Linked DNA regions of Mus musculus. The protein of the gene in region 2 purifies or fractionates together with the protein of the main gene of each other region. This does not show direct contact. Links are inferred from orthologs where the notes say so. Each region holds a gene or a part of one and is shown on either strand. Other genes may lie near its edges. The genes, in order: Cep20 and Ofd1.

The links.
Region 1: the proteins of Ofd1 (region 2) and Cep20 purify together in Homo sapiens (co-immunoprecipitation; 3 studies listed by BioGRID and IntAct, with this or other methods). This does not show direct contact. The link is inferred for Mus musculus from reciprocal best matches to the Homo sapiens genes OFD1 and CEP20.

What each region holds. Positions count from the first base shown.
Region 1 is NC_000082.6:14,299,069-14,310,850, forward strand, and holds the end of Cep20 (lisH domain-containing protein FOPNL), read right to left. Parts: intron 5,520-11,782; coding exon 5,386-5,519; intron 1,142-5,385; coding exon 1,062-1,141; 3' UTR 176-1,061; downstream 1-175. UniProt on the Homo sapiens protein: Involved in the biogenesis of cilia. Required for the recruitment of PLK1 to centrosomes and S phase progression.
Region 2 is NC_000086.7:166,388,102-166,399,469, forward strand, and holds the end of Ofd1 (oral-facial-digital syndrome 1 protein homolog), read right to left. Parts: intron 5,231-11,368; coding exon 5,076-5,230; intron 4,470-5,075; coding exon 4,317-4,469; intron 3,858-4,316; coding exon 3,790-3,857; coding exon of another isoform or gene 3,684-3,789; exon of another isoform or gene 2,958-3,683; coding exon 2,915-2,957; 3' UTR 1,932-2,914; downstream 1-1,931. UniProt on the Homo sapiens protein: Component of the centrioles controlling mother and daughter centrioles length. Recruits to the centriole IFT88 and centriole distal appendage-specific proteins including CEP164. Involved in the biogenesis of the cilium, a centriole-associated function.

The DNA.
Region 1 (11,782 bases), on a different chromosome or scaffold from region 2:
AGTTCCAGGACCGCCATGGCTACACAGAGAAACCCTGTCTTGAAAAAAGAAAGAAAGAAAGGAAGAAAGAAAGAAAGAAAGAAAGAAAGAAAGAAAGAAAGAAAGAGAGAGAGAGAGAGAGAGAGAGAGAGAGAAGGAAGGAAAGAAAGACAGACAGACCATGACCATAAGCAACTTGGGAAGAAGAAGGTTTATTTCAGCTTACAGTTCAACATCACAGTTTGTCACTGAGAGAAATCACGGCAGAAGTTAATGCAGAGGCCACAGAGGAGTGCTACTTAGTGGCTTGCTCCCCATGGCTTGCTCAGTCTTTCTTACTGAACCCAGGATCACCTGCCCAGGGGTGACACCACCCACTGTGGGCTGGACCCTCCCATATCAATCATGAATCAAGAAAAATGTACTACAGGTTTGCCCATAAGCCAATCTGATGGAGGGATTTTCTCAATTCAGAGTCCCTCTCCCCAAATGACTCTAGCTTGTATCAAGTTGATATAAAACTAGCCAGGGCAGGCAATAATAATTCAGGTATTTTTTAAAAAATCAAACTTCATATAAATTAAGTTCTGGTTTTAATATTCCTTTAGATATTTTTTCAAAACATGAATGACTTTCCCCATAGGTCCATATACTTCTAGCTGAAAAAAGTTTAATGAGCAGAGCACATGGACAAAGACCTGTTCTTGTGCTTTCTTTCTTCAGTGCTAGGACTGAACCCAGGACCTTGCATAGGGAGGGAAGTGCTTTACCAGCAGCATAGCAACAGCCCTTAGAGCTGGCCAAAAAACCCAAAACAAAACCCTATACAAAGTACTAAAAAGCCCTTTCAGATTTCACAAATGAGAACTTTAAAAATACATCCTGAAAACAATAAATTTTCCCCAGTGGCATCCAGCAAGCGAGACGACAGATCAGCTTTCCACAGATGCAGTAAACCATGAGTGGCTGAATGCAGACACTCAAACATTTACAAGCAGTGGTGGTCTAATTGATGGCATTGGGAATAATACGTCGGTTACTCCACACACAGCTGAGGTGATGAGCCTGGTGTATGCATCGCATCATCTGCTGACTGCTTGTGCAGCAGCAGGAAGCTCTTCAGTTGTGGTTCTTGGCCCTGTGTCCTTCCTCACGTGGTCATCTAGAGAAAACACACAGGTGTCAATATTCACTGCAAATCCCAACAGGCAGACAAGCAAGCACTTATGTTATAGGGCATTGTGTTAGTACTTTATGAGTTTTCCTTACAACATGTACTGTACTACCATGCATGCAGAAGTCAGAGGACAACTTGAGAGAATCAGTGCTTTCCTTCTACCATGTGTGTCCAGGTATTGAACTCGGGTCATGAGGCTTGGCAGCAAACCTGCTGAACTATCTTTGTGAACTCTACTCATGTCTTAAGCATCACTGAAGAAATCATAACTGTTTGGTATTAGAGACTAACTGTAATAATTCAAGTGTTTCTTCATTTGGAGGGTAGAGGAACAAGAGGGTCTCACTGTTTAGCCCAGGCTGGCCTTCTGCCTCAGCTTGAGTGCTGATGTCACAGGCTTCAAGCACAGGCTCAGCTTTTCTTTTTTCTTTTTTCCCCTTGGAGTGAAGTGCAGCGTGGAGCCCTGTAAGCCACTATCTCAGATATAAGGAATGGACTCAGGAGGAAGGACAAGTGTGCAATCAGCATTGTAGGGCCAACAAAACCACTATGATTGCCTGTTAGCTGAGCCCTCCTGTGGAACACAAAAAAGGGGGTTGTTTTGTATCTATTGTAACACTATCCAGGAAATGGTAGAAAGTACTTTTAAAGCCTGCAAGATGGCTCAGGGAGTAAAGATGCTGCCACAAAGTCTGACTCCAACTTTGATCTTTAAAACTTACATGGAAGGACAGAACTGACTCCTACACGTTGTCCCTTACCCCCACATATGCACTATGGTCCATGCATGCACAAATAGATATAAGTGTAATAAAAGTGATAACTAAATAAAATAAAATCCAAAGATAAGCTGGGCATGGGGAGATACACCTTTAAGACCATCCCTTGGGAGGCTGAGGTAGAATAATAAATGCCATCCTGATCCACACTGAGATCTGCCTGGCTCTGCTCCACCCATGCTGGGTTACAGGTACACATGCCACGCTGGAGGGATAGTCCAGTGGTTCACAGAACTTGCTGCTAGAGAACCCACGTTCAGTTCCCACTGGACACATGGCAGCTCATAATGGTCTATAAGTCTAGTTTCTGGAAATCTGATGCCATCTTCTGGCTTCCTAAGACACCAGGCATGCACGAGGTACACAGACATACATACAGGTAAATACCACCCACCACCACCACCACCACACAAACATAAAACTTTGTTTTAAAAAAAAAAAGTCCGAGACAGGCAGTGGTGGCACACGCCTTTGATCCCAGCACTTGGGAGGCAGAGGCAGGTGGATTTTTGAGTTTGAGGCCAGCTTGGTCTACAGAGTGAGTTCCAGTACAGCCAGGGCTACACAGAGAAATCCTGTCTCGAAAAACAAACAAACAAACAGTCCCGGTCATATGCCTATGATCCCAGCTAAAGAAATGGAGGCAGGAGGATTGCCACCAGTGAGAGCAACCTAGGATACATGATAAGACCCTGTATCTAAAAAAAGCTCAAGCATAAAATTTAAAATAAAGGGCTTTTAAAATTAAATTTATTTTTCTGTGTGTCTGTGTGTGTGTGTGTGTGTGTGCATACATACATGTGAGTGTGTATACATAGGCCACAGCAGGTGCACACAGAAATCAAAGGACAACTTTTAGAAGTTGGTTCCTCCCTTCTGTTGCATACCGATCATAAAAGCCTTAACTTTTACTTAGAACAAAATCTACCCTGCCTCAAAGATCACATCCACTCAGTGCAGGACTAAGTGGCAGGCTATCCTGCTAAAGGTGGGTGCCTATGGAATCTTTTCCAACATCTTCCACTAAAACCAGATGAGCTGTCAAGCAGGAGTCATGCGGCTGCTGTAGTAGGTGGACTCAAAGAACAACCGTGTTACAAATGATATCTTATAGCTGAGACTATTCTCAAGGCATTACGTAGAGGTCACTGTGTGTCAAGAAAAAAAAAATTGATGATCAAGAAAATAACTTAGTTATTTTCTAGTTTGCATAGTGATCCAAGCCTTTAATCCCAATACTCAGGAGGCAGAGCCAGGTAGATCTCTCAGTTCAAGGCTACCCTGGTCTACAGAGCTAGTTCCAGGTCAGCCAGGACTATAGAGAACCTCTGTCTCAAACAAACAAAACAAACAAAGAGAGAGAGAAAATAGCTGCAACATCACTGTCCCTGGAGCTCTGCGGCCACCCTCATTCATGAGCTGTCCCTGGAGCTTTCTGCAGAGGAAGTACCCAAACCCACGGCACTGACTGGCCTCTCACTGCTTGTAGCACTAAGCATCTTGGGGTGACTCTCTTCCCAGCTTACCTCCCTCCTCCTTCCCCCCTCTTCTTCCTCCCTCCCTGCAGTGGAAGGTTATGAGAGATAGTTTAAAACTTTCACCTTATAAGAACTGACCCTGGTTTATGACCAGTTTTCTCATTTTCAACATTCTATTGCCACTAACACTAATATTAAAGAGATTCTAACATTATTACAAAGGTTAGATCCCAAAACATTATTTTTCTTCATAATACTAAATTAGAGTCTTGTGGTTGCTGTGTTAACGAGTATTAATGGGTCATCACCATCCAGCAGGGACAGGAACTGAGGACTGTCACGCATTCCTCCTAAGTGTGCAAACTAGTAAAGCCTTTCCAGGGAACTAAATAATATGAACTACATACTTAAATACGCCATGCTGTCTGTGAACCAGCAATTCTGTTTTAGGTACCATCACAGGAGAGATATCATTCTATACAGACAAAGATACAACCTTACACAGTTGTAAAACTGAAACCTTAGCCTTAGCTCATCAGTAAAAAACAGCTGTAGCAATACCACACCATAGAGGCCCAGACCCACTGATCCATAAGCACACTGCCAGCTAAGATAGATTTGGATCCTTGAACACACAGAATTAGTCCCAAATGACCCGTAAAGGGCCAACATGAGTGTCTTCCATGGAAGAGAAGGGGTATGAGGAGTCAAGATGGGCAGGGCAGAGAAGGTCAAAGGCAACTGTACAGTCCTCGAGACTTTCAAGAGGCATTAGCAGGGTTAGTGGGCTAGTATTCTACACTAGTGTCAGAGCCTTAGTGATTCTGGCATGAACTTGGAAAGCCCCCACTCTCATGCTCTGGTGGGTCTGAACAGTGGCCTTGTGTTAAACTTTAGCCAGCACTGAGTCGCTATTCTCCCAGTCTTGGCTCTCTAGGAAGTTAGTAAAAGTTAGTAGAAAGTTAGTCTAACATAACACAGTCAGCCCAGCATCACAACAAACAGAGAATAAAACTAGTTAAGTCACAAATATCTTGAGGGCTTATCCTGACTCACAAGTATGTTGCTTTCAGAACTTAAGAAGCAGCAAGTCACTCAGAAGGGGCAGCAGCATTGGTTGTAGCAGAGCAATTTGCATCCTCGGCATTTCTTAAGAATTTACTTCAAATCCCGTATCAGCTGCCTGAACCCCACTTGTAAACACCCTTCTGAGAACGAGCACCAACTCTGCTCCATGGGAAACACCCAGCTCACACAAGCAAACTCAGGACCTGCTGCCTAATCACCATAAGCTCGTTTCACTCTATCATTTCTACCTTATTTACTTACTTACTCAGCTTTGTGTCACCTTGGCGACGACCTCACTATGTATGCACCCCAGGCTGGCCTCAGTCTTCACTGCCTGGATTACAAGTCTGAGTCACCATGCTTCGCTCTGAAAGCTCACCGTAAAGGGGAGCATTCTGAGCAGGGCATGGCTGTTCACACATCTAATCCTGGCACTCAAGCCGAGGAAAGAAGACTGACTGATGGCAAGCTCAAGGCCAAACTGAATGAGAGTCAGAGTCTAAATTCTGTTATCTGTAGTTAACTGTCATCTACCATAGCAAGTGTCCTGGAAATGTACCGGGAACACAGACATGGCTTCTCTGCACAGTAGTAATCTTGTATTTTTCAGTCTGGGAAAGATGGGGGAGAGGGTGTCGGGGAGGGGGGGGGGGGAGGCAACTTCTTGATTTCAAAGAAAACTATACAATGCGCTGAGCCAGGCTGTTTCAAAGACCCTGCTGATGTGAAAATCAGGTTTTCAAGACCTTGCTTTGAAATTGTATCTGAGCACTTTGCCCAGTCAAGATCTCTTCCCCCAAAGCGCTGGCTTTCTGGAGGTGCAGTAGTACAGGCTGATGATGACCAGACCAGCTCCAGAGAACAAACCCAATGAAGCTCAAGGATGAGTAGCGGAAGCGCCTACCGTCAGGTCTTCTGCTGGGCTTCCAGCTGAGATGCTTGGTTGCCGGGTGCAGGGTTGACTCTGTCAGAAGCACATTCTGGGCTCCATCTGGAGGACCACGCAAGAAATGGGCTAAAATTCCATACAATAGAGGACTATTTCCGGAAGAAGACAAAACCAAAATCAATTTACTTCCCAGAAGTAGGAAAAGCTTACGACAATCACTTTAAAGGTAAACTCTGACACAGAAACGGCCATCTAACTCAATAAATTAAAAAAAAAAAAAAAAAAAAAAAGATTACCTAAGTGGCAAATGTTCACTCAATTTAAAAGTACCAATTACCTTGAGTGAGATCTTTTTAAAACCCTCAGAAAACACACTGCCACAATTAAGATCTTCTAAACTAAAACAAAATCCCAATTAATCTACTGGAATTCAGCTTGTTAACTCCAAGACCAGCCTAAGACGTTCCTAGAACCTAGAACTGGTTACACATCCACTGTCCTGTCAAGGTTATGCTCAAAAACCATGTGCTCTGCCTTCATATCTTGTTGGCGGACAGCCAGCTGCAGACCTTGAAGATCTGTTTCCTAAAGTTCCACAGATGTTTCTCTTCCATAAAGGCTGTAAGCAATCCCTAGGTTACATGTTTGGTATCCTGTTGACAATGTCAAGTCTCTAGCTATGTACCTTGCACATAGAAAATGGCATATGGGGCTGGTGAGATGGCTCAGTGGGTAAGAGCACCCGACTGCTCTTCCAAAGGTCCAGAGTTCAAATCCCAGCAACCACATGGTGGCTCACAACCATCTGTAACAAGATCTGACGCCCTCTTCTGGAGTGTCTGAAGACAGCTACAGTGTACTTACATGTAATAAAATAAACAAATCTAAAAAATAAAAAAAAAAAAAAAAAAAATAAAGTTGATGTGAATGATGTTAAGTGTTCTCCAGGAAGTATTTATTTAAAAAAAAAAAAAAAAAAAAAGAAAATGGCATATGAATTAACAGGAGAGCCGGGTAGTAACTAATATCTACAAGGCTGCTTTGTAGTTTCCTCTTACCCATCACTATACTACCACCATTTATGACTGAGAAAACCAGAATTCAATAATGTGCCAGAGTTCCTCAGGAGTAAACAACATTTATACTCATAACCAACTCCTATATGCCATTTCTTAAAATATGTCACCAAAAGTCCTGTTGGTTGGTCCCCTGACACTGAAGGCTGCTCTACTGAAAGCACAGAAGTGTTCTCTCTTCGCTTCCAATCTCACCCCAGGAAATACAAGTAAATGCATTTCCTTTTGAGATATCCATCTCCTGCCCAGCTGATAAAATGGTTCAAAGTATGACCCTTCTATCAAGAACAGGGTCTACACATCTTATGCTTGACTGAGCCTCACTCACTTCTACCTATGGGACAAGGTGGCAAGGGGCAATTACTTGCTTTCTTGGATCACTCTCTGCGGGTGGGGAGGCACAGCCTGTGGACATTCAAGCAGTCCCACACACAGGCACATATATGAGGAACTTAGGAAGTCTGAAGAAGATCTCATGGCTTCAGTACAAGTTCCAGAAGCCTGAAACCTCAAAAGCTATCCGGAGCACATGGATGTGACAGCAGCTCCCCAGGACGAGGAAAGCACTACAGGCTCTCAGGGAGACAGACCCCACGCCTCTGCTCCTTCCAGCCAGCTTGCTTGAGATTGCTAAAAGCTTTACTTCTGACCTAGGATAGAATCTGCTTCAGATTTAGAAACATCTTCATCAGAGATCTTAAACTGCTTTACATGGTAATTAGCACATTTAACATACAATTCGACAGTAAAGTTTATTTCCAAAAATAAGTTTTAAAAGGCCATGTTTTTTTAAAAAAAATTTTAGGTGTTGCTCAGTGACAAGCACTCACCTCGCATGCGCAAAGCCCCAAGGTTGATCTCCAGCACACACTCCCCCAACACACACACTCCTGAAGAGGCTCCCTCACTCTCTGAAAATAAAGCTGGTCACCAGTTTCCCCTTTGAACTTGTTCATCTGCAGCAAAGGTTTCAGAGGCTATCAAAGAGCTAGGAAAAAAAAAATCTAACAGCTACTTGCTAGACACCCGTCAAATGCAAACTAACTTCTACTTGGATGGCCCTATACCTGCTACTGTGGTAGTCTGAATAAAAATGGCCATCTGAGGCTCATTTGAATCAGGGAGTGGTGCTACTTGAGAGGGATTTAAGAGGTGTGGTGTGGCCTTGTTGGAAGAGGTTGGGGGTGGGCCTTGGGGTTTCAGAAGCTAGTATCAGTGTCCTCTCTCTCCTGCCTAGAGTTCCAGGTGGAGATCTCTCAGCTACTTCTCCAATACTATGCTTGCCTGTGTGGTGCCATGCTTCCCACCAAGAAGAGAATGAACTAAACCTCTGAAACTGTAAGCAAGCCCCAATTACACGTTTTCCTTTATAAGAGCTGCTGTGGTCATGGTGTCTGTTCACACTGACTAAGATAGCTACTCTTAGAATCTCCACACATTTCAAAAACTGTCCAAATGTTTAAACCATTACCCACTGTTTTGCTTAACATTCAAATGTAGTGATTATTATACCCATGACCACTAGCTCTGTAAAATGGGGATAACAGCCCCCTTAAAGATTTTTTCACCAAACAAATATGGATAACCCAAGTTAGACGGCAAAGGCTCTTCGTGTGGCAGGATTTCTCCGTGTACATGCACCATTTAAGCAGATCATAAATGACCAGGAGGGAATGTAGTTCAATGGCAGTTTGTGAGCATCTCATAGACTACGCACTCCCCAGTCACTCTCTGGGGACACTGTAGAAAACTGTGCTGCCACATCTCCAGTGTCTACAGCAATGCCCCACATTGTAGCAAGTATCAGATAAGTTTTGGCAAAATAGTAAAATGCTGGAAATCCACAACACAAGAACGCCATTAAAGGGGAAGATGTGGTCTGCATGGGAAGGAAAGGAAGCAGAGACAGCCTTCAATAGACACTCTCTCATTTTGTGTAGATAAAAAAAAACCTCTGAGACAAAATACAGTGACCCTCAAATAAGAGGAACTAAAGTGTTTGAAAAAGAGATGTATATACACAATACGATTCCTTCATATGTGGAAGGAAAACCACACAGCTGTGCTTCATGTGCTGTGTCTGAATGATACAAGGGGAATTGCTCACTGAGTCACCTCTGGGCAGTGACAGCTATCAGTGGGCAGCAGCTGGGGGCAATAGCACACTTTTCTATATCTCCTACATGGTTTGCAGCAAAACACCAATACTTTCATTATGACCCCTCAAAAGTGATTTCTCCTCACTTAGGCCACTGTTCCCTATCTAAGGTTCATGCCATGTCACTACATAAGTCAAACACTGTGTTAATACATAGGCAAAATAAGTGTAGGCAAACAGTCAGCTCACTATACTCTCTCACACCTAGTGCTTCAAAGCTTTTCCTTCAGAAAGAGCTCCTCAGCTACCCAGCCCAGAGCTGGACAACATCTGGACACCCAATGCAAATCAATGACAAAGTGCAGTAAGCAGCAGAGAAATATACAGTGTTACAGTAACACTCAACTGGTACATGCAGCACTTATTCGAATAATTTTATTTATTTAAAATGCAGCATAATAGCTATTACGCTCCTTTGTAGTCTGTCTGCTTAGCTTGCTGTTAAAATCTGCTGTAGCCTTGTCATGTCAGCACAAAGACAAAGAGGAGAAAACATGAAACTATGGAACTAAGAAATGCTTTCTTTTCTTCTTCTCGAGGTCACCTGGATTTTATGCGGACAATCAGTTTTCCTGGAAGCTGAAATTCAATGCAGTGAGCACAAGAGCCTGTGGGTGGCTTTCTCCCTCCCAACTCCTGTGGGAACATCTAAACATGGCCAAGAAGATAAAAGGTGAACCCACAGAAGTTGGAGAGGAGAGGGAACATTTGGTGCAAAGGCCATGAACCATGAAGCTGCAATAACTGTGTGCCACTAAGAGGTGGGTCGAGCCACTGAAGCTGAAGCAATACTAAGGATCTGACTTGCTCACATACACCATGGAAATTCATTGCATGTTTTTAAGCAATACAGTAGCTGCCTTAGGAAGACAGAGGGCAGGGTAAAAAGAGTTTGGAAAGGGAGCGACTGGAGAACTAGCCAGGTGGCTCCTGATAGTGTCAACAGTGTGGCACAAGGCACTGAGACTGAGAGATAAGCAGAGGCAGAGGCAACAGTGCTGCTGAAGGAGAAAGAAAACCTGTCTTTAACCTGCCTGTGGCTCTGCCTTTAAAGCCTGAGCAGCCACAAGAAAAGCCTGTAAGGAGCGTTGTGAGTCGGCAAGAAGAGCACCCTGGTATTCTCAACACACTGCATTTAAGATGCCACAGACACATGGGCCCCAGCAGGAAAGTGATCCAAGCCCATCTGCCCCATGCAGACCTCCCTAGAGGCTCGGGTATAGGGGTGGTGTGTGAAAAGAAATGGAAACGGAAGACACTCTCTATGGAGTGCCCACTGAAACTTAAAGGAGTCAATGAAGAAAGAAAGACTAAGTAAGTCTGGGGAACTCTTATGACAGTGAAGAACCACAAGAAACATGGGATGGGAAGCTGTGTGGAGAAAAAAGAAGTCAGTATTGCAACGTGCTGCAAAAACTCAGGACCCATACTTGATGCTAGGGACAGGACAGCACTGAGGGAGACTTAGTTAAATGGCATATACAAAAACAGTTTGGGGGTCGGGGGGAGGGAGCTGGAGAGATGGCTCAAAGGTTAAGAGCACTGACTGCTCTTCCAAAGGTTCTGAGTTCAAATCCCAGCAACCACATGGTGGCTCACAATCATTCATAATGAGATCTGACACCCTCTTCTGGAGTGTCTGAAGACAGTTACAGTGTACTTACATATAATAAATAAATAAATCTTTTAAAAAACAAAAAACTAAAAAACTAAAAAACAATTCAGGGCTGGTGAGATGGTTCAGCAGGTAAGAACACTGACTGCTCTTCCGAAGGTCCTGAGTTCAAATCCCAGCTACCACATGGTGGCTCACAACCACCCGTGATGAGGTCTGACGCCCTCTTCTGGTGTGTCAGAAGACAGCTCTGTGTACTTATGTATAATAGTAAATAAATCTTTGGGCCTGAGCAAATCAGAGCGAGCAGGATTGGCCAGAGCGAACAGAGATCCTAGAAATTCAATTCCCAACAAACACATGAAGGTTCACAACCATCTGTACAGCTACAGTGTACTCATATACATAAAATAAATAAATTTTTAAAAATCTTAAAAAAAAAAACTTTATATTAAAATATAATTATACCACAAAAACAAATGAAAAAAATCCATGAACTTTTAGAAGGAAAACATAAATCTTCAAAGAAGTTTTCAGCAAGGAAAGGTTTCTCTGAGCTGTGCACTCTGGCACTAGGTACAAGCTAACCAATTAACCAGTTAGGGACTCTGGAAAAATATAAAAGGCATTAAACACAGGGAAGGAACTAAGAAATGACTCATGTAGAGGAGGAGAAGGAACAATTTCCGATGCAGGCAGCAGAAGAGAAGGGGATGGTAACGTGAAAGCAGAGGGCAGACACAACAGGTCTGGCAATGATAAGCTATAAAGCAGAGGTGGGATAAGAGGAAGCTGACTGGAAGGCCCCTTTCCTCTGTTTAGAGATGAGATCTGAGTTAGTTCCTACATTGAAGTGAAGGAAGGAAGGAAGGAGGAAGAGTTAAATATGAAGAAGAAACAACTCGAAGAACAAAGCTTTACAAAGAAGAAAAAAAAGATCAAGAGGCCAAGAAGAGTCATTCTTAGAAAGAAGGGGGAGGAGCTGGAGCAATGTCTCAGAGCGGTTCAGAGCACTCGCTGTTCTAGAGGTCCAGCTTCAATGCCCAGCACCCACATGGTGCCTTACAATCACCTGTAACTCCAGCTCCAAGGCCTCTGAGGGAATCAGGCACGTATGTGGTGTACAGACATGCATGCAGACAAAACACCTATATACATACATTTTTTTTAAGTTTAAAAAAGCCAGTTGTTGGTGGTGTATGCCTTTAGTCCCAGCACTCTGGAGGTAGAGTCAACTGGACATCTGTGATTTCAAGGCTGAGCTAGAACAGAGCTAGAGTTCCAAGACAGCTGGGACTATTAAAAAAAAGAAAGAAAGAAAAGAAAAGAAAAGAAAAGAAAAGAAAAGAAAAGAAAAGAAAAGCAGCTTAAAAAAGAAAGAAGTAGAGGGCTGGGCCAGGGTCACTGCTCAGGGTAAAGGGCTTGCTGCACATACAAGGCCCTGTGTCAATTACCACCACTGTGAGAAACTGATGGGGGGGAGGAAGCCCCCAAAGGAAGGAAGGGGTGGGGAGGGAGGGAAAGAAAGGGAGTGATGCAGGGAAGCAGGTTGGCTAAGTATTC
Region 2 (11,368 bases):
TTTTCCTATCTAAATCTTAATTTCCTGGAATAATAATGTTTGATATTCAGCAAGAAAACTGCTTGAGTTTAAGCCATTTTCAAAAGAAACTTGCCTTCTAACTCATTGTGTTCCAGAACATTAAGTGACTAATAGGTACTGGGTATTAGTGATGGTAAGTTTTGTGTTCTTCTTTCTGGAATGATCCATATAACTGTGGGGTGCATCAGTGCTTTTCAAAGGGGCTGCATACTATAGGGTTAACTATGTATATTCATGTTAAGAGTTAACTTGTGGTTTGGCTGTTTCCTGGATTTTAAAACATATACATGTGCAGAGATGTATTCAAATGAAAGGAAGCATATCTTTATCAAGATGCTAGTAAAACTGAACATCAACTATAATATTTCATTTGGATTTTTTTTCTTTTGGATAATGCCGAGAAACGCCTAATTGGATTCCTTTTAATTGGGAGACGCTCTCTTCTGTGTAGAACAGTTGTTCCAAGATAGCTTAGTGTTTTGTTTTCCTGTTGCATGACAGAATTATTGTTTCCAGCAGTGGAGGTGCTGTTAAGAGTCCAGTGTTCTAGAAGAGGCGGTGTCTAAAGCCTAATTTTACTTTTCTAATTCTGGTAGCTATTGCCAGGAACTTTTGAAAGTTTTGTTGAAGTAGTCTAATATTTTTTATGTAAAGAGCATTAAATTTTGCTATGTATAAATTTTTGTAACCTAACAGTGAATCAATATTTTCTATCAGTGCCAAGGGCTTCCTGTAGTTCTATTCAAGTGTTACAATAAATATTTGTAGATAATAGTCAATACTTGTGTATGCTTATTTTAAAGATCTATTTAGGTGGAAATAGTTGTGGATGTACTAAAGAATAATGAAATAAAATTATAGCTTCATTCGCTTGCCTTTTTACCATACATAAATCCTATCTTTCTCTGTTCGCGGTATGGTGTCATTTTTTTTAAATAATATACATCATCAAGATTTTACATAGGTAGAGACATATAGTCCATGGAAGACTGCTACTGGTTTCATTTTGCACGTGCACACAAACACAAGCAAAATGTTTTTAGCAAGAGCAAATTGAGAAAATACTGTAGCCCACTGAGCTGTACTTTGTATAAAATGCTACTAGCACTTGAGTGTGAAACGCACAGAATTTTCCCAACTAGTTTCTCCAATAAAAAGCCATCTACCTACAGGATTGACACATACATAGTTTAATCTTGGGCAAAGGAAAAAATGGGGAACTTGAATAAGGGTCTATAAACTGTTGACTTATAAGCCAAAGTCTAGGGGGAAAGGTATATTTGGGGATATAATGAAAGCTAAGTCTAAGTTGATTCTTTAAGCAGCAGCACTAAATTTGTGTGGGGATTTCCTTGTCTAACTTGAAAGAACCCTGTCAGGGTGCCTATGCATTTGCTCTCCATGTGAGGCCGTGCCTTTAGCATTCTGGGCACAGCACCTCTAAATGAGGACTTGCCTCTGGATCATTCCCCTTCACTCACGCACTGCAGGGAAATGAGCAGGAGCTCCAATGTAATGAAGCTTGTCTCACTTAACACCGTCTGCTCAGGCTGCACTGTGTCACTGGATAAGCCTCCTGAATAAATACTAGAGTGCTTTAACACAACCACAAGTAACCTTGACAGTAATTCTACCATCAAACATAGGAACCTCTGGGGGACACAGGTTTTTCCAATTACCTCTGGTTTAAACACACACACACACACACACACACACACACACTTTAAAGGATGAAATGAGCCAGGTGGTGGCACACACCTTTAGTCCCACCACTTGAGCAGCAGAGACAGGCAGATCTCTATAAGTTTGAAGCCAATCTGACCTACAAAGTGAGTTTCAGGACAGCCATGACTGCTAGACCAAGAAACCCTGTCTTGGAGGGTTAAAAAAAAAAAAGAAGTCAGAGTTATAAGTTACCTTTTTATTATATTTTAAAATATTTAAAATATTTAGTAACCTAAATATTTAAAAATCAACAAGTTCACCCATTATCCATTATAAATAAGATTAAAGGATTCTACAGTAAAGATGCTGGCTTACTCCTGCTACAAAAATAATCTTAGACAAGGTAGGGAGTAAAGAATAGAACTTTGGAGTTTTTGTTTCATTTTTACAGTTCTGGAGACTGAGAATCTCAGTAACAAAGTGCTGGCAAGTTCAGTGCCTGGTAAGGGTCAGGCCTTGGTTTGTACAGTGTCAAGTTCTTGGTACTTCTGAAAGGGATGACTGCGCTCTCATTCATTCTATGTAGGAGGGTCTGCTTTCATGGCATCACGCCCCAGAGGCCCACCAGCTAATACCATCACACTAGGGTTCAAACATATGAATACTGGAGAACCTACAAGTTTAACCACACCAGATGCAAAATATTATTTATAGACATTACAATGAAAAGATTTGTGTTCATGTCCAGGGACAAAACTGTGCTGGGAGGATGGCTTCCTGTTTTACACATTATAGCCCAAGTGTGGAGCAGGAGGCACACAGCTTAAACTTAGCAAATGCAAGCCTGGAAGGTGACAAGATAAGTTTTCAAATAGATGTAACTTAAGACAAAGCCAGAGAGAGGAATGTCATTTTAAAACAATGAATACATGCCATGGCTAGAGGACTACATGGGCCAAGTGTGGTGGTGCATGCCTTCAAAGGGAGGCAGAGGCAGGCGAATCTGTGACTTCAAGGCCAGCCAGGGCTTCACAGAGATCTTGTCTCCAAAAATAAAAGGGGAGGGGGGAAGGGTTCAGCTGACTCTGTTACTGTTGTCTCAGACATTATGGTATAAAATTAAAACAATGTTAAAAAAATACACAAAGTTTTTTTGACAACTTTAATTCCAGAAAAACAAGAACACATATTACGTGACTTCTTGTGAGAAACTAGACAGCTAATGTTATTACCACATGTCATCTGGTTCTTCATGAGAAAATCCTGGAGAACTAAAGAGAAAAATTAGATGTTTAAAAAATTCATGCCAACTTCTACATCATCAGGTTCTTAATCTGTAGGTCACAACCCTTCACAGGGGTCACCTAAGACCATCGGAAAACATATATTTACAATTCCTACAGTAGCAAAATTACAGTTAAGAAGTAGCAATGAAAATAACTTCCTGGTTGGGGTGACCACAGCATGAGGCACTGTATTAAAGGGTCACGGCATTGGGAAGGCTAAGAAGCACTGCTCTACATCTTCAGAATGGTCCTCCTCCTTTCTTGTCGTGTTTTTGCTCTCACTTACAATTAGTATTAGGGTCAATTTCACAAGTCAAATCACAATCGACTTTTTGAGGCCAGTGGCTTTTTATTTTGTTCTGTTTTATTTTTTAATAAAGGCCTCCTGTGCCTCAGGCTGGCCTATGTAAACAAAACTTACCTTAAATTTTTAAATACCTCCTGCTTCTACCTGAGTAATGGAATTACAGGCATGTGGCACCATGCCCTGTTTATGAGTGTCTGGGATTGAACCCAGGGACTTCTACCTTTTAGTTCAACACTCTGCTAACTGAAGTAAACCTCCATCCCTTTTAAATTCATAACTTTTGAGAGTCTTACTATGTAGCCCAAGGTAGCTTCAAACTCTTGATCTTCCTGTCTCAGGCAGCAGAGTGCTGGAATTACCAGAATATACTATCATATACTAACTTTCAAAAGGAGTAATTTTTACTAATCCAATGGTTTCTTTAAGGCAAGCTCAAGTATCTGATCATTTTTATCTGGTAACATGAGCAATACTGATTTGCCTGAGGGACATGTTTGAAGGAAGCCATACCTTTCATCCTTGTCACTAGGCATCATCATGTCCACTAGTGAGCATTCTTTGCCCGATTTTTTGGAGCTCTGACACAGAATGGAGAAAGAAAAATTTTGAAACAAGTTAACTTCAGAAAAAGGCCAAGAAATAGTACACTTTGATTTCTCTAATAATTATTTTGGAAACATATTTAAGAGCCACTTTAAAGTGAAACTTAGCAAGTACATCAAAATAACACATAGCATGTATTTTCAGTATTCATAATTCAGACAGAAAAAATGTTTCACAATCTATAACTCAATAAAATATCCTATTAGGTACAAAATTAAAAATTAGAATCTCTTCAATGTTTTACCTAAACTAAGGCTGAAATTTTGTCAACAGTGTATATATTTTACAGAATCCTGGTTCTATTTCAAGTATTCACTTTATGGCCTTTAATCTTTGTGTCTTCAATAAAGAATACATGTCCCAAGGTGTCAGAATAAGGCTCCCAGTGCCTCCCCTCTCCTCTGCCATCTGACTGCTAGCCACAGCATAGGCACCTTATCTGCATTTGATTCTTCCTGTCTCTGCTGGATAATTTTCATGTATTTTTCTAAAGTATTTTCACAATGAGCTGATTTGTCTTTCTGGTCTTGAACACTCTTTTCTAATTCTTCTTCCATCTCCATCTTCAGTGACTCTTCAATCATCCTCTAGAAACAGACCAGCGGCAAAAGAAGAAATATATGAACATAGTTTATAAGCTTCTCAGTCTTAAAAATCATACTAATAAGATCCTTATTCTGGTAGCATAACTTGCATACCAGAGAAAGTGCTTAAAATTAAAGTCATTGCTATCATCAGACAAACATGTCATTTCAAGGAAGGAAGGGATTAACCAGGAGGCCAAGGAACATTTTTAAGGCATGTTAACTAGCCAAGAGTAATCCATCTGCCTAGCACTAAAATCAGAACAAAAACGGCAAGGAGAGAGGTAGAAAAGCTGTATGTGCCTAGACGTCACTGTAGATTGACTAGATGCACCTTCTTGCCCTAGTTCTTCCAACTGGCAAGCTGGCTCTCCTGGAGTGCACATACAGAGGGAAGGTATACAACAGATGAGAATACATGTGGATGTCTTTTCAAAACCAAGTTGCTCAGAAGGAGCACAACAGGAAGGGAAAGAGAATGCCTTTGAGGTCACCTGCTGCTTCTCTGATCTCACAGCATTACTGGCTCCCAGCCTTGAGCTCAAGGTACCTGCTGAAGGTGCCGTGCCCACTGGAAAAATGTATACAGAGATTTAAGGGACACCGTACCCGCTCCTGCTCTAGTTTTCCCAGCTCTCTTCTTTCCCTCTCTAAAGCTTCTTGCCGTTCATTATGCCTTTGTTCTTCTCTCTGCCTGCGTTCTTTCATGTGAAGCTCCCATAGCTCCTGTTCGTCTTGTTCTCCAGTTTGGCTCTGAACAGCACCTTAAAGGACAGAAAACAGAGTGAGTGAGTAGCTACCAGCATCAGATTTTTCAAATCTAGTCTTCTGCAGGCCTGCTTGATTTTCTACTGATTCTAATGACCTGCTCTAAGCTGCTGGTCTATTTTTATTATCTTCTAGCTCACAGACTGACACCTAGCAACCCTCCTAGACTTTTACTTTCCTGAGATGGATATAAGCCACCACACGATGAATGACCCCAACAGTCGTCCTTCCATACCATATCCTCTTCATTCATCTCTTCTCTCCATGCTTCAGCCTCTCCATAGCAAATTCTACAGTTCTGCCTTCATGTTTCATTACAATCCATCCCCTATCTTTAGAACTATTAGCGCATCAATAGGGGTTTCATAAACACAGTAATTTCAAAACCCTTTCTCCCTACGCCTAAAAAAGATGCTCGAGACATTCCTATCCCCAAACAGAACAAAACTCTCCCTCCTCCCCTTTATCCTCTGGCACTACCACCACTATTCAGTTCAAGCTATACTGATCCTGGTCCTTGCTAGGGGTCATCCTTTTTTTTCTCTCCATTGTTACTCAATGTGTACAGGTGCTTTGCTTACATGTGTATCTGCACCACATGCATGCAATGCCTGAGAAGGCCAGTAGAGAGCATCAGATCACTTGGGACTAGAGTTACCGACAGTGGTGAGCTGCCATATGGATGATAGGAATTGAAGCTGGGTCTTCTAGAAGAGCATTTAGTGCTCTTAGCCACTAACCCATCTCTAACCCCTAATCATTTCCATGTCTTTCTTCATTTCTGACCATTTTCCCCAGCCTAACAATCATGTTTTTAATGGGATTCTGGTCACAGAAATGGAGAAATCCCAAAATGCTAGCCTCCTCCCCAGGTTACACTGGTTCTTTCATCATCTCTGTCTAGGTAAGCCATGGAAATACACATCTATGATGTTAGCAACTCAAGAGGCTGAGCCCACAAGTTAAAGAGCAGCCCAGGCATCAGAGTTTATCCCAGATCCACTGAGCCACCAGTACTTGTGTGCTTATCCAATTCATCTTGCTGCTACAGACAGTTCCTCTGTGAGGTCCTCCTTACCCTCCAAGTGATACATAAATATGCCAGCACATCATTTGCCAATACATTATACCCCCTCTCTAAAAAAAAAAAAGAAAAGAAAGAAAAAAATCATGTGTGCGTATTTTTCCCACTTCTATTTCTTCTTAGCAAGCTTCATGTTTTATTTGTCTGTTGTTCCCTTTCATTCTTGGCACAGGTCCCTGCCTTTTAAATAAGTCTCAGTTTCACAGATGATGATGCTGGCCATTCTTTCAGCTCCAGCCCATGACCTACATTTTTTTTCACTCAAAAAATGCTAATCAGCAACAATGCCACAGGTTCACCAAAGGATTTCAGACTCTGGTGTTGTGCCTTGTCCCAGATGCTTAGCAGGAATAAGAACTAGCTTTACTGAAAAAAGGCCACACATCTCTCTATCTATCTATCCAGCCAGCCAGCCATTCAATATATGTTTTTCATACAATTAAAATACCCAAAAGTCACACTTCTTTCCAGAGACACACTTACCCTGTCCCTCCCTTCCAGTAGAGGAGAGATTACTTCAAATGGCTCTACTTTCCCACAGGGAAGAGCAATGACAAAATAAGATTATTGTTGAGATAAAGGAAAAAGAAGAAAGGAAAAAAGGCAGGGAAAGGAAGAAAAACAAGATGCAGAGCAGGATGAAAAAAGTGGGAAGAGGGAAGAGAGAGGAAGTGGCAGAATTATATAGAAACGTGTTGGACACAAAAGCCAAGACCAGAAGCATTAGGAACCTCAAGGACATCACATTTTTACTGTTTCTTGTTTGTTTATTTTTGTTTTTTTTTTTGGGGGGGGGTTGTTCTTAGATGAAGAGGCAGAAATGAATATATAAGCATTTCTCAAATGACCAAAACATAACCAATGCTACTTATCAACTATTTCAAGAGCCATGATTGCTTATACATCTCAAGGCAGAACATCTAGCTACTCACTGATTTCCCTTAGCTAGTATTTTGGCTACTTCCTTCGGCTTTGAACATGGCCAGGTGCACCGTCTGCTCAGTGATAGCCTTTAGACTCCTTCATTGCCCCACCTTCTTAACCCACACTCTCCATGAAGGCAGGAGCTTGATTTGGCTCAATGAATATACCTAGCCCTTAGGCAATGCCCAACAGAGAGAAGGTGCTTGCTTGGGTCTAGTTAAATGAATTGTCTCCCAAAGCACACTTACTTACTCAGGAATAAGTATAATCAAAATCTCTTGCTCCTTTTCAGTAGCTCCTCTCCTTCCTGAGTACTGTGACTTCTAGAGTACTTCCAGAGACCATGAAACTACTATGGAGTGGCTTTGAGTTATGTTGTGTGTGGGGTTGTCTTAGTCAGAGTTTCTATTCCTGCACAAAACATCATGACTAAGAAGCAAGTTGGAGAGGAAAGGGTTTATTCAGCTTACACTTCCGTACTGCTGTTCATCAACAAAAGAAGTCAGGACTAGGACCTAAGCAGGTCAGGAAACAGGAGCTGATGCAGAGGCCATGGAGGGATGTTCTTTACTGGCTTGCTTCCCCTGGCTTGCTCAGCCTGCTCTCTTATAGAACCAAGACTACCAGTCCAGAGATGGCACCACCCACAAGGGGCCCTCCCCACTTGATCACTAATTGAGAAAATGCCTTACAGTTGGATCTCATGGAGGCATTTCCTCAACTGAAGCTCCTTTCTCTGTGGTAACTCCAGCTGTGTCAAGTTGACACACAACAACAGTCAGTACAGGAATGTTAATGGTGTTCCTATTTGGGCAGATAGGCAACCTAAAGTAAGACATTTCCTCTCAAGTTTGTGGCTGAGAAGAAAGGGACCTGGCTGTTGACTGGGCTGGAAGAAAGGACAAACTTCCTCTCAATTCTGCTCTCTGCTCCCTCTACCACCTGAGGGAGAAGTAGATAAACTGAAGAAGAGAAAAAAGCATAGCCAGGCAGAAGTCTGATGACCACTTTCTTTCGGTGACAATATAACATATGACTTTTCTGAAGATTGAAATATGTTTTTCTATCCTAATTTATGAAATAAATGAAGCCAGTAAGACAATAAATACTAAAATGTTGCAACAGTAAAGCTATACAGTGGGCTTGACCATTACTTCAGGGTTTTTTTTCTTATTTTTTCTTATTTAAATGCATTTTATACATCAAACATAATAATATTGAGTATTTTGAGAATCAAATAATAGGTAAAAAATTGTTCAGCTTTTATATTCATATCCTTATCCTAAAAATATCATTAATGAATATGTAATACTACCCATAACTGAGGATCCTATATCTAATGTTGAATACTAAATTGTTTCAAAACATACAAAATATTCATTGGGAGTTAAGCACAGTAAAAGAGCATAAAATATTAAAAATGAATCATTAAGAAATATATTCAAAAGCCCTTATATGATACCACCTGACATAGTGAGAGTATTTAAAATACATTATATATCTGTGTACATTGTCTAACAATCAGTTTATTTAAAAAAGATTATCAGTGTTTATAGGAGAGAAATTATTTTATCAGAAAGTATATTTTAAATTTTTCAAAATAGCAAAAGCTCCTTGAAGTTAAACATTAAGAAAATGCTAATTTCAAGCAGTGAGACAAATTATCAATAATATTTCCATGATGTTTGTAGAACATAATTTTATTATTTTCAACTGTTAATATTCAACAAGAGGAATAACTGTTTTAAGATATATATGATTTTTGGATTTCCTGGTTTCTGTTGTTATATCTCCCTTTTCATTTCTGATTTTACTAATTTGGATACTGTCTCTGTGCCCTCTGGTTAGTCTAGCAAAAGGTTTATCTATCTTGTTGATTTTCTCAAAGAATCAGCTCCTGGTTTTCTTGATTCTTTGAATAGTTCTTTTTGTTTCCACTTGGTTGATTTCAGCCCTGAGTTTGATTATTTCCTGCTGTCTACTCCTCTTGGGTGAATTTGCTTCTTTTTGTTCTAGAGCTTTCAGGTGTGCTGTCAAGCTGTTAGTGTAAGCTCTCTCCAGTTTCTTTTTGGAGGCACTTAGAGCTGTGAGTTTTCCTCTTAGCATTGCTTTCATTGTGTCCCATAAGTTTGGGTATGAACTGTCCTCATTTTCATTAAATTCTAAAAAGCTTTTAATTTCTATATTTCTTCCTTGACCAAGTTATCATTGAGTAGAGCGTTATTCAGCTTCTATGTATATGTGTGCTTTCCATTGTTTTTGTTGGTATTTAAGAGCAGCCTTAGTCTGTCGTGATCTGATGGGATGCATGGGATTATTTCAATCTTCTTGTATCTGTTGAGGGCTGTTTTGTGACCAATTATATGGTCAATTTTGGAGAAGGTCCCGTGAGGTGCTGAGAAGAAGGTATATTATTTTGCTTTAGGATGAAATGTTCTATAAATACCTGCTAGATCCATTTGGTTCATAACTTCTGTTAGTTTCACTGTGTCCCTGTTTAGTTTCTGTTTCCATGATCTGTCCAATGCTGAGAGTTGCGTGTTGAAGTCTCCCACTATTATTGTGTGGGGTGCGATGTGTGCTTTGAGCTTCAGTAAAGTTTCTTTTATGAATGTGGCTGCCCTTGCATCTGAAGCATAGATGTTAAGAATTGAGAATTCTTGGTACATTTTTTTTTCCTTTGATGAGTATGAAGTGTTCTTCCTTATCTTTTTGGATGACTTTTGGTTGAAAGTCGATTTTATCCATTATTAGAATGGCTACTCCAGCTTGTTTCTTGGAATCATTTGCTTGGAAAATTGATTTCCAGACCTTTACTCTGAGGTAGTGTTTGTCTTTGACACTGAGGTGCATTTCCTGTATGCAGCAAAATGCTGGGTCCTGTTTACATATCCAGTCTGTTTGTTAGTCTATGTGTTTTTATTGGGGAATTGAGTCCATTAATGTTAAGAGACATTAAGGAAAAGTGATTGTTACTTCCTGTTATTTTTGTTGTTAGAGGTGGAATTATGTTTATGTGGCTTCTTTTAGGTTTGTTGAAAGATTACTTTCTTGTTCTTTCCCTCCTTGTGTTGGTGTTTTCTATCTATTATCCTTTGTAGGGTTGGATTTATGTAAAGATATTGTATAAGTGTGTTTCTGTCATGGAATATCTTGGTTTCTCCATCTATGGTAATTGAGAGTTTTGCTGAATATAGTCGTCTGGGCTGGCATTTGTGTTCTCTTAGGGTCTGTATGACATCTGCCCAGGATTTTATAGTCTCTGGTGAGAAGTGTGTTGTAATTCTGATAGGTCTGCCTTTATACGTTACTTGACCATTTTCCCTTATTGCTTTTAATATTCTTTGTCTAGTGCATTTGGTATTTTGATTATTATGTGACAGGAGGAATTTCTTTTCTGGTCCAATCTATTTGGAGTTCTGTAGGCTTCTTGTGTGTTCATGGATATCTCTTTCTTTAGGTTACGGAAGTTTTCTTCTATACTTTTGTTGAAGGGATTTACTGGCCCTTTAATTTGGGAATCTTCACTCTCTTCTATACCTATTATCCTTAGGTTTGGTCTTCTCATTGTGTCCTGGATTTCCTGGATGTTTTTGGGTTAGATTTTTTGCATTTTGCATTTTCTTTCACTGTTGTGTCAATGTTTTCTATGGTATCTTCTGCACCTGCGATTCTCTCTTCTATCTCTTGTAGTCTGTTAGTGATGCTTGCACCTATGACTCCTGATCTCTTTCCTAGGATTTCTATCTCCAAGGTTGTCTCCCTTTGTGATTTCTTTATTGTTTCTATTTCCATTTTTAGATCTTGGATGGTTTAGTTCATTTCCTTCACCTCTCTGATTGTGTTTTCCTGTAGTTCTTTAAGTGATTTTTGTGCTTCCTCTTTAAGGTCTTCTAGCTGTCTACCTAGGTTCTCTTGTATTTCTTTAAGGGAGTTATTTATGACCTTCTTAAAGTCCTCTATCACCATCATGAGAAGTGATTTTTAGATCCAAATCTTGCTTTTCTAATGTGATGGTGTATCCAGGACTTGTTATGGTGGGAGAATTGGGTTCTGGTGATGCCAAGTAACCTTGTTTTCTGTTGCTTCTGTTCTTATGCTTGCCTCCTGCAATCTGATTATCCCT